Schizosaccharomyces pombe: one gene and its partner. Changing the gene in region 2 together with the main gene of any one other region gives a genetic interaction. Each region holds a gene or a part of one and is shown on either strand. Other genes may lie near its edges. The genes, in order: asp1 and pho4.

Region 1 (5,676 bases), on a different chromosome or scaffold from region 2:
GAAGTGCACACTTTTCCCATAAAACTTAACAAATGAAGGTGGCTCGTAATGACCATTACGAGAACGTAGGATTCTAGGAGCACCATCCATTGAATCAAAGATCCATTCTTTAAGAGAGTTATCTGGACCAGCAGTTACTAATATGGGCTGCCCGTTAAGAAACTGTATCTTTGGAAGTGACCCAAAATGAGCATTATATGTAACATTTTGAATTCTTCGCTTTGAAAGATCCCAAAAAGAAAGGTCACCAATGGGGTTGGAAGAAGCTAATATTGGTGTCCCATCAGTACGGAATGAACATGAAAGAACTTGGCCATCTTGTTTGAATTCCATGAGTATTGAACCATTTTTAAGATTAAAGATTACAATACGACCACTAATAGTACCAACAGCTAAAACATCGAGGACAGGGGCTTGTGTTAAACTAGTGATTCCATCACCAAAAAATTCCTGAAATTCATGTACACGTTTAGAAACACGCAAATTCCAAATCTGTAATGCTCCATCTGAGAATCCTAGCAGTATTTTGTTCAAATAAGTGCTTGGATGTAGTAAACTAGTGATATCTGCATTGGTATTAGGAAGAAATGTAGTATGAAGCTCAGGAACACTATATTTAGAAGCGTGTTTCCATACATAAACATGACGAGAAGATGTACAAGCAATAATCCACTCACCAAAAGCATCTAAATGAGTGACTGTTCCATGTTCTTGCTCCACATCAATGTCCCATATTATTTTACCACGTTTATATGCAAAAATTTTTGATCCGGCAGCTACAAGCATGAAATCTTTAAAGGATTTTAAACAAGTAATTTCCTTGTCTAATTGCTTGCCAACGAAAAGCAAATTCAACTTTTCGCAGTCATATGTTTGAAATGTGTTTCCCACCGACGTTGTTACCAAAAAATGGGTTCCACGAGCCTCAATGTCGAAAGGTACTGCATTGGAAACGTGACCGATGGATCTAAAGGCTAAAAATACAGTTAGCAATCTGTTCATTCCAAAAGAAAAAGAGAGAATTTTGACTTACGAGCATAGATCCTAGATTTTCTTAGAGGCTTCACCGCATTTTCATAAGTCCTCCGTTTCTTCTCTGCAAATGGCATTTTATCACAGGAAAGAACACAAATAGCACGTAAAATGGCAAAGGATGGCTCTTGTCCTGTAACTTGCAAAAAGCAGTGTTTGTGAAATTCTAGCAACCCTTTACGACCTACAGTAATAATCGTTAATTTACGACAGTGTATTTACTGAAATCGATAAATGTGTTTAACGATATGGTCAATCCGTCATATATCAATTTTCGGTAATTATAAATAAGAATCGTTCTGCTATTGTTCCGTTTATTTAAGTAAACAAATTATTTATTATTAAAAAAAAAAGAGAACTAAACATTGATGTCTAATGTTATTGTAAGATTTAATCGTAAAAACATGTTAGCAAAACTTCTACATTCTCTTCAGAATACCTAAAGAACTCTATTCACATATATCAAAAAGTGGTAAGGTAAATCTATGATTGTTGGAATTCTGGGCTTGTAAATAATGAAATAAATTTCAGTAAATTCTTAAAAAATATTTTTCTTTATGTAAAAGGTGCGAGAACAATATACTCTTGAACCCAGCTAGTAGAAGTAATTTTTTAATGTTTGTTGCTTGTAAAATTTAAACATTCCAGTCCACGTGTTTTCGCACGGACGAAAAGTAAAAACCTATTAAACAAAAATTTTTTCTAATTCTTTTTTAATTTAATATTGATGGATTTTACAAGCTTTTACTAAACTGGAAGAATACGTTTTTGAAAGAAGAATAACAGAAACTGGGCTTGGTTAAAAAAATTTTTATGAAAACCCAAATTAACTAACCCAGTATAATTAGTAAAAAAGTTATTCATAGAAGCATTACTGCGAAACAAATTCAATATTCACTGTCCACTTCATTTAAGCAACAATTTCTTATTTATTTACATTTCGTTAGGTAAACAAATGTTACCTCGCTGAATTGTAAGGTTAACCGTACAAGTAACATTGATCGACTAGGTGTGTACTAACACCGTGTACCTACATCTCTCATAACCAAACAAGTGAGGGAATTGGCCATTGAAAGAATACAAGTGGGAAAAAGGTGTTTTAAGCGTTATTAAATATTTTAACGTAGTTGAATAATAAAGGATGATTCAAAATGCAAGTCATCTTACATCTATCGACACAGAGTCATCTACCAGAACGGCGTCGCCTGTTTCCTCAATCGTTACACCTACTAAACGAAATGTAGTTGGAATCTGTGCCATGGATGCCAAAGCTCGCTCAAAACCATGTCGGAATATTCTGAACAGAATCATCGCAGAAGGTGAGTTTGAAGCCATAGTATTCGGTGACAACATGATTTTGGACGAAGCTGTGGAAAATTGGCCTGCTTGTGATTATTTGATATGTTTCTACTCTAGTGGATTTCCATTGAAGAAAGCTGAAAAGTATGTCGAGTTGCGTAAACCTTTTTGTGTAAACGATGTAGTATTCCAAGAGTTGCTTTGGGATAGACGGCTTGTGTTGAACATCCTTGATGCCATACGTGTTTCCACCCCTCAGCGTTTGATTTGCTCTCGTGATGGAGGTCCTAAAATTAATAAAGTCCTAGAAGAAAAGTTGCGTCGAAAGTTTGGAATAGAAATCACAGAGGTTCCTACCCCAGAAGTAAAAATGTTGGACGAAGATACTCTTTCTGTTGATGGCAAGATAATAAAGAAGCCGTACGTTGAAAAACCAGTCTATGGTGAAGATCACAATATTTATATTTATTTCCCTAAATCCGTTGGTGGGGGAGGTCGCAAATTATTTCGTAAAGTCGCAAATAAGTCTTCAGATTATGATCCAGATCTTTGTGCTCCACGCACTGAAGGATCTTTTATTTACGAGGAATTCATGAATGTCGATAACGCGGAAGACGTAAAGGTTTATACCGTGGGTCCTCATTACAGCCATGCAGAAACCCGCAAATCACCCGTAGTGGACGGAATTGTGAGAAGGAATCCACATGGTAAGGAAATTAGGTTTATCACCAATCTTTCAGAGGAAGAAAAAAATATGGCCTCTAAGATATCAATTGCGTTTGAGCAACCTGTTTGTGGATTTGATCTTCTTCGTGTCTCAGGTCAGTCGTATGTGATTGATGTGAATGGATGGTCCTTCGTCAAGGATAACAACGATTATTATGATAATGCTGCTCGAATTTTGAAACAAATGTTTCATGTTGCCGAACGTCATAGACGGAATCGTGTACCTTCAGTCCAAGAAGTTTTAAATCCTCCGCCTAGAGAAAGTGAGGCATGGAGACTTAAAAGTTTGGTCGGAGTCCTGCGTCACGCGGATCGTACACCTAAACAAAAGTTTAAGTTTTCATTTACATCTGATCCATTTGTAAAATTATTGCAAGGTCATACCGAGGAAGTTATTTTAAGAAACGAACAACTCAATTCTGTTTTGGCAGCTACCAACCTTGCTACAGAACTCAAATGCGAAGATATCAACAAGTTAAAACAGTTACGCTTAGCTTTGGAAACGAAGAAAGACTTACCGGGGACAAAAGTGCAACTTAAACCGGCTTATTCCCCAGAGGGAAAGCTTTTGAAACTGCAGCTAATTATCAAATGGGGTGGTGAATTTACTCATTCCGCGAGATACCAATCTAAGGATTTAGGAGAGCAGTTTCATAAGGACCTGTATATTATGAATCGTGATTGCCTGAAAGATGTCGAAATATACACATCTTCTGAAAGACGTGTCTCTGCTTCTGCTGAAATTTTTGCAATGGCCTTTTTGGAGCAAGAAACTATTCCTAGCGACTTACTCAAAGTTCGCAAAGATCTGTTAGATGATTCTAATGCTGCCAAGGATACTATGGATAAGGTTAAGAAACACTTGAAATCATTATTAAGAGTTGGAGATACGGCTAGAAAGGAGTTTACTTGGCCAGAAAACATGCCCAAGCCTTGTGAAGTAATGCAACAAGTTGTTCAACTCATGAAATATCATCGCGCAGTAATGAGAGAGAATTTTATTATTTTGGGACCTGAGGTTGAGCAAGTTCAATCGCGTTGGTGTTGTAATGAAAATCCTGCGCTCTTTAGGGAAAGGTGGGAGAAGTTGTTTAGCGAATTTTGTGACTCTGAGAAAGCAGACCCATCCAAGGTTTCTGAACTATACGATACATTGAAGTATGATGCTCTTCACAATCGGCAATTTTTGGAACGCATATTTACTCCCTATCAGTATCTCAAATTGCCTCAGAGTCCAAGCTTGATTGCCAAAGAGCCTCCCCAAAGAACCGATAGCAATGGCAATCTTGTTGGGATGACCGGTGCAAATACTAATCACACTGAAAGGCCGTTGGAAAAGTTGTATGAGCTATACGATTTAGCAAAAGTATTATTTGATTTTGTTTCTCCTCAAGAATATGGTATAGAACCGAAAGAAAAGTTAGAAATTGGTTTATTAACAAGTGTACCGTTGCTTCGTCAAATCATACATGACATTAAAGAGGCACGAGATTCTGATCATGCTTCAACAAGAATGTACTTTACTAAAGAGTCTCATATCTATACCTTGCTTAATTGTATACTTGAATCAGGACTACCTATGAAATTACCTAGAAATCAAATTCCCGAATTAGATTATCTCACTCAAATATGCTTTGAGTTATTCGAGAGGACTAATCCTTCAGGAAATAAGGAATTTTCTGTTCGTATCACACTCTCACCAGGTTGTTATGCCCAATGTCCATTGGATATGAATCTTGATGCTAAACACTGTATTAGCGTTTCACCTCGCAGGTCGCTTACAAGACATTTAGACCTTCAGCAGTTTATAACGAAAACCGAGGACCTCTGCAACTCAGTTCATCTTCCCAAAAGGTTTATTCCTGTTAACATTAATTAACCGCTTTTACCCTTTTTACGAATGTTTTGATAACATAAACATTTTTTAAACGATATTTTATTAGTAATTGCACATAATTAAACCAAATTATTTATTAAACCTTGGTTAATAATTTTGTCTGAATAATTTGTTGTTCGGGTTGCAGTCACGGTGCCGCGGCAATTCCGAACGTTGATCGCAGTCCATGATTGCAATCGAAAACATCGTTAACCAACATCACCAATTTTTGTGAGTTCCATTTAACGTTGGATATCAAGCAAGATGTCGCTTACTCCGGATGAAAAATATGAGTTGATTACTCGTAATCTTCAAGAGGTGCTTGGCGCCAAAATGATTCGCGAAATTTTGAATGAACGCGATATCAGCTTGTACTGGGGCAGTGCACCTACTGGCCGTCCTCATTGTGGTTATTTTGTGCCAATGATGAAGTTGGCTGATTTTTTAAAGGCCGGTGTACATGTTACTGTTCTTTTAGCCGATGTCCATGCTTTTTTGGATAACATGAAGGCGCCGATGGAACTCGTTCAACACCGTGTTCGTTATTATGAAATTATTGTCAAATCTATTCTAAAATCGTTGAATATTCCCATTGAGAAGCTTCGTTTTGTCATTGGCTCCAGCTATCAGCTGAAGGAGGATTATACCCTTGATAACTTTCGACTTGCTGCATCTACGACAGAGCACACTGCTCGTCGTGCCGGTGCAGAAGTTGTCAAGCAGGTCGCTAGTCCTCTATTGTC
Region 2 (4,286 bases):
GCCTTAGTTTTATCATTTGGAACATCTCATGGCAATGTTCATTTTGATTTATAGAGCTACAGATATTAAAGGGTTTAAAAAAAGGGATTGATTGATTCTTTTATCCGTGTAATGGAAAAGGAGGACTAGGGATTTTTTTTTTGGCAAATTACATGACTTTCAAATATTTTAAATGAATTCTATTAAACTTTTGTGTCGTTCGTGTGTGGTAAAAGGTGAGTTGTTGACGCCAAAAGGAATCGTTAATGTACGCGTTATATCTTGAGAAATGTTTAAGATTTATCCCGACCTATTAATATTAATGATTTGGAAAGGAATTACAAAAGCTACGGAGTCACTTGAAAGGCTTTGAAGTAAGTCGAATTGAAGAATTAGCTTCACCTAAAGGCGGTACGAGTGAAGGTTATAGATTTCGTACTAGGCATTTAAAACTATAAGTATTTCCTTTTTTGTTCAAACACTGACACAACTCGTTTATACTATGTCTCGTAAGTCTTTCTTGAATATATAAATGCTCACTTTCTGTTCGCTCTACTTTTCCTCCTTAATACCTAAGTCTTATACATAAGCTATTACTATAGTTAAAAATTATCTATATTATTCCTAAGGACCCAATTGTGTTAACAATAATATAAGATGCTAAGTCTAGTAGTAGACGGTAACGTTGGTGGAATGCGCCTGACATTGCGAGTTAAAATTAGCAATACCATTAGAGGTAGAATTAACACGAACCGAAGAATTCAAGTAAGCGCTCAACTCGCATAACCCATCTGAAGCACCACTAGGACCATAACCGCAATCAGTAAGGGGGTATACTTGCTGGTTGACGAGATGGCGTACATAGTATTTATTATCAGAACATAAGAAAAGTTCAGTAATTAAGTTTCCTGCGAAGGGAACGAACGAAGAGGTTTTTAATGAGTATGTAAAAATGTTTTTGTCAGTCGGTAGAGGGTGCTCAGGAGTAATGTCGGGGAAAAACCCAAGAGCAGCCTCGACTGGAATAATTTGAGAGTCGTGGGTAAACGCTAAGAATACCTTACGATCGGAAGCATTATTCACACCCTTACGAAGATTATTTGCAAGGTTATTAACATAAGCCCCACCTAATGTGGAAGCCCATTCTGAAGCGGGACCACCCCAATATGCGTAGTCAAGGTCACTGTCATATTCAAAATTCAAAAATTCAGAGGGAGTAAAGAGTGAACAGAAATCGCTGTTATCTCTGAGAGCGATCTCGTATACACAAATATAGTAAAGACTGCGAACATCCGAAACCGTAAGATTATAACCGCTATCAAAGTATTTGTTTAAGCGATTGGCGATAGGCTTGAGAAAAACATTACGCCAACTAGTATGGGCGGCTTCAGTAGTGTTTTCATCAATATTGTTGTCTTCATAAACGGGACAAGAGTAATACATAGCTAAGGAGTTTGCACCCGCAGAATCGTCTTCCGGAAGAACGATGAAGTTGGTTTTGTTCTGCATATCATCGCCAAACATTCCATAACTAAACCATTCTGCAGAGTCGACAACACGTTCTTGAGCAGCAGTATTGATATCGTAGACATCAGTGTCGAAAAGCTCATAGTAGCGCTCAAAAACTTGACGGCCCAAGTCAAAAAGTTCAATTCGACCGCTGCTGGACAACTGGTCGGCATTTTCAGCCTTTATCACAGGAGTCCAATGTTTAACGAAGTAAAGAGGATTTTCAGGATAGCTAAAATTTACCGGAATTGAGCCATTTAGAAGCTTGTTTTGAAAAATATCTATATATTGCGCACTAGAGACATCAGTGGCAGTGTCATCCCCAGTCGGGTTTCGAGATCCATGACGCTGAAGCAAATGAACCTGTTTAATTGCACAAGATTCGGGGAAGGAGGTAGTGGGCCCATTAAAGTAGGGTTCATGATATACACTAATCGTTCCAAGATGGTCCTTGAAATAAAACTCATTTTCAAATGCCTCAAATTGAGATTTACCAGCATGAACGATGGATGCGGCCAAAAGCCATAGAGAAATACCACTTAACTTCATCGAGAAAAAACAATGAATTTATGTAACCCAAGCAGACCCAATAAAACCACAAGAAAGAAATTTACTGTGTATGAATCAACCAACGACCAGCGATTCAATAGCAAAAAAAATAACGATCGAATATTTAAAAGCGGGTTGAAACGAACGGTAGTCTATTCAATCAACGAACTTTGATTATTTGAAGTAGGAAAAGTCTAAAATAAACAGTCAAAAGATGACTATTCTAAGCGCAAGAAGCAGCAGATATTTATATACAATCAATCCGGATATCTGCTAACACTAAGCACCCCGGCTACCACCAAACCAAAGTCTGATTTCGGCACGACTACATTGGAATTAAAAAAAATGAATGAAGTTGCAAACCTGGTGTAGTTCGCTATTAGACTTTAAGATTTTGGACCCACAATTGTTAACTGAAATAACGATGCAAATTACGGACAAAGTGTTACAGTAATATTATGCGATTAATAATACAACGGTGTAATATAATGATATTATTATTACTGAACTTACAAAAATCTGATATTCCAATACTTAATAATTTAATAGAACTAAAGAACGAAGTTTCAGTTGGAAATGATTTTGCAGTCTTTTTGTTTTATATAAATTTATATTATATAATAGCAATGCCTACTCTCTGTGAAATGGAATTATAAATGATAATGTAATACAAAATGAATACTATTGTGTAAAGATGTGCAAACATTGTACGAGCTGCTACATAATATTGCATAATAAAGATATTTTTACATGTATATCACTAATAAGAAGTTGGGCATTGAAGAGTATTAGTCTGCTATCTTTGCAAATTGCTTCTAATATGTATATAAATAGCTTGGGAGAAAATTATTATTAATATTTAGTCTTTAGTAAGATCCAACAATTTAATTTATTAGAGCTACTTGTTTCATGCCGTTCTTAAATGTCCAGAAAAAAGATTTATTCATTCCAATAGAATAAATTAATATAATAAACAAGCATTCCCGCTATTCCAGCGTTAATATAATGGGTTTCATATGCATATTCAAAATGTATATAAAGGGTATACTAGCCACATTGTCATGTGCAGCCCTCGCTTAAGTAATAGCTTAAAACAACTGTGGGGTTATTGAAGAAATGAAAATGTTAAAAACGTAAAAGTTGTTTGTTTGTACGGTTGGACCCTCTAAACACTTTTTTCTATTCTGACATTTAATTAATTTTATGATGAAGATTTTTTTTATGTTCAGTAAGTAAAGCGATGCCTTATAACAATATTACAATGGTAATGGTATAAATAAAGATAAAAATTTTATAGCAATTGCAAGAATGAGTACTTTTGAAAACTCGGTTATTGGAGAATCAAGCTGAAGTGGTTGAAGCGAGCTAGTAATAACTCACTTTAAAGCATTTACCAATTGAAGTCTCACAAGCCTTTTGATATTTCGAAAAGGAAGGAATTATGCTAGGCACTCAGCATAAAAAGAACCATTTTATATGATAAAGGGCAAAGGGAAATTAATTTTCTCTCTATAATAGTAAGTATACTGTTGGATATTTATTCCAAAGGAAATATAGGCGGTGAATTCTACTTTTATCTTCTGATCTCTACGCTTTTATTATCAACCGTAAGAGTCTTTCTTTTATAGTAATAACAATCCAGTTAAAAAGGGATAAAAATACTTATCTTCCTTTTTATATATTACTAATCCTAAAAGAGCTTAGAAATAAGCAATTTTTTATTAACTAGTTCTTTATAAAAGCATATTTATAGAGAAAAGCATTTCATGAAATTATGCTATGTACAGCGAAATACGAAAATAAAATACCTCCTTTGACTAGAACTGTAAGCAACAAAGAGTAAACAATAAAAGCTTGTAGTCATTAGCAAATTAGATTTTTTTATCAGTAGTCTCGATATTAGATGAGATATGTTGACATAATCTGTTTGCCAGTTCTTTCTTTAAATGAGTTTTGTTTATAGAACCGTTTATTTCAACTCATCTTCCAATTTTTATTTTAACATATTTTATTAGCAAATGTAATCGTTGGTAAAATTCGCCTACAACGTCAACATTCAGTCAAAAAGCACACCTAACTACTCCCATCTCTATTACTCCCCGTTCATATTTTAACTTTTTAGAAAATGTCTTTGACATCCGTTTTATGGAATTTCGTCGCCAAACTTGCTGTGGACCATGGATTAAATACCAATCCTGATCAAGTCTTTCAAACCGTTGAAAATGTAGGCAAAAGTTTCGAAAAATATG

What was found.
Region 1: of pho4 (region 2) and asp1, a mutation in one rescues a mutant of the other (synthetic rescue), as found in Schizosaccharomyces pombe (one study listed by BioGRID).

The regions. Positions count from the first base shown.
Region 1 is NC_003421.2:570,970-576,645, reverse strand, and holds asp1 (inositol hexakisphosphate kinase/inositol pyrophosphate synthase), read left to right. Parts: upstream 1-2,073; 5' UTR 2,074-2,173; coding exon 2,174-4,936; 3' UTR 4,937-5,176; downstream 5,177-5,676. Other genes in the region: U3 snoRNP-associated protein Utp21, read right to left, coding at 1-974, 1,034-1,109; tyrosine--tRNA (Tyr) ligase Yrs1, read left to right, coding at 5,198-5,676.
Region 2 is NC_003423.3:444,772-449,057, forward strand, and holds pho4 (thiamine-repressible acid phosphatase Pho4), read right to left. Parts: upstream 2,258-4,286; 5' UTR 2,038-2,257; coding exon 646-2,037; 3' UTR 553-645; downstream 1-552. Other genes in the region: nuclear membrane organization protein Apq12, read left to right, coding at 4,163-4,286. UniProt on the Schizosaccharomyces pombe protein: May dephosphorylate thiamine phosphates.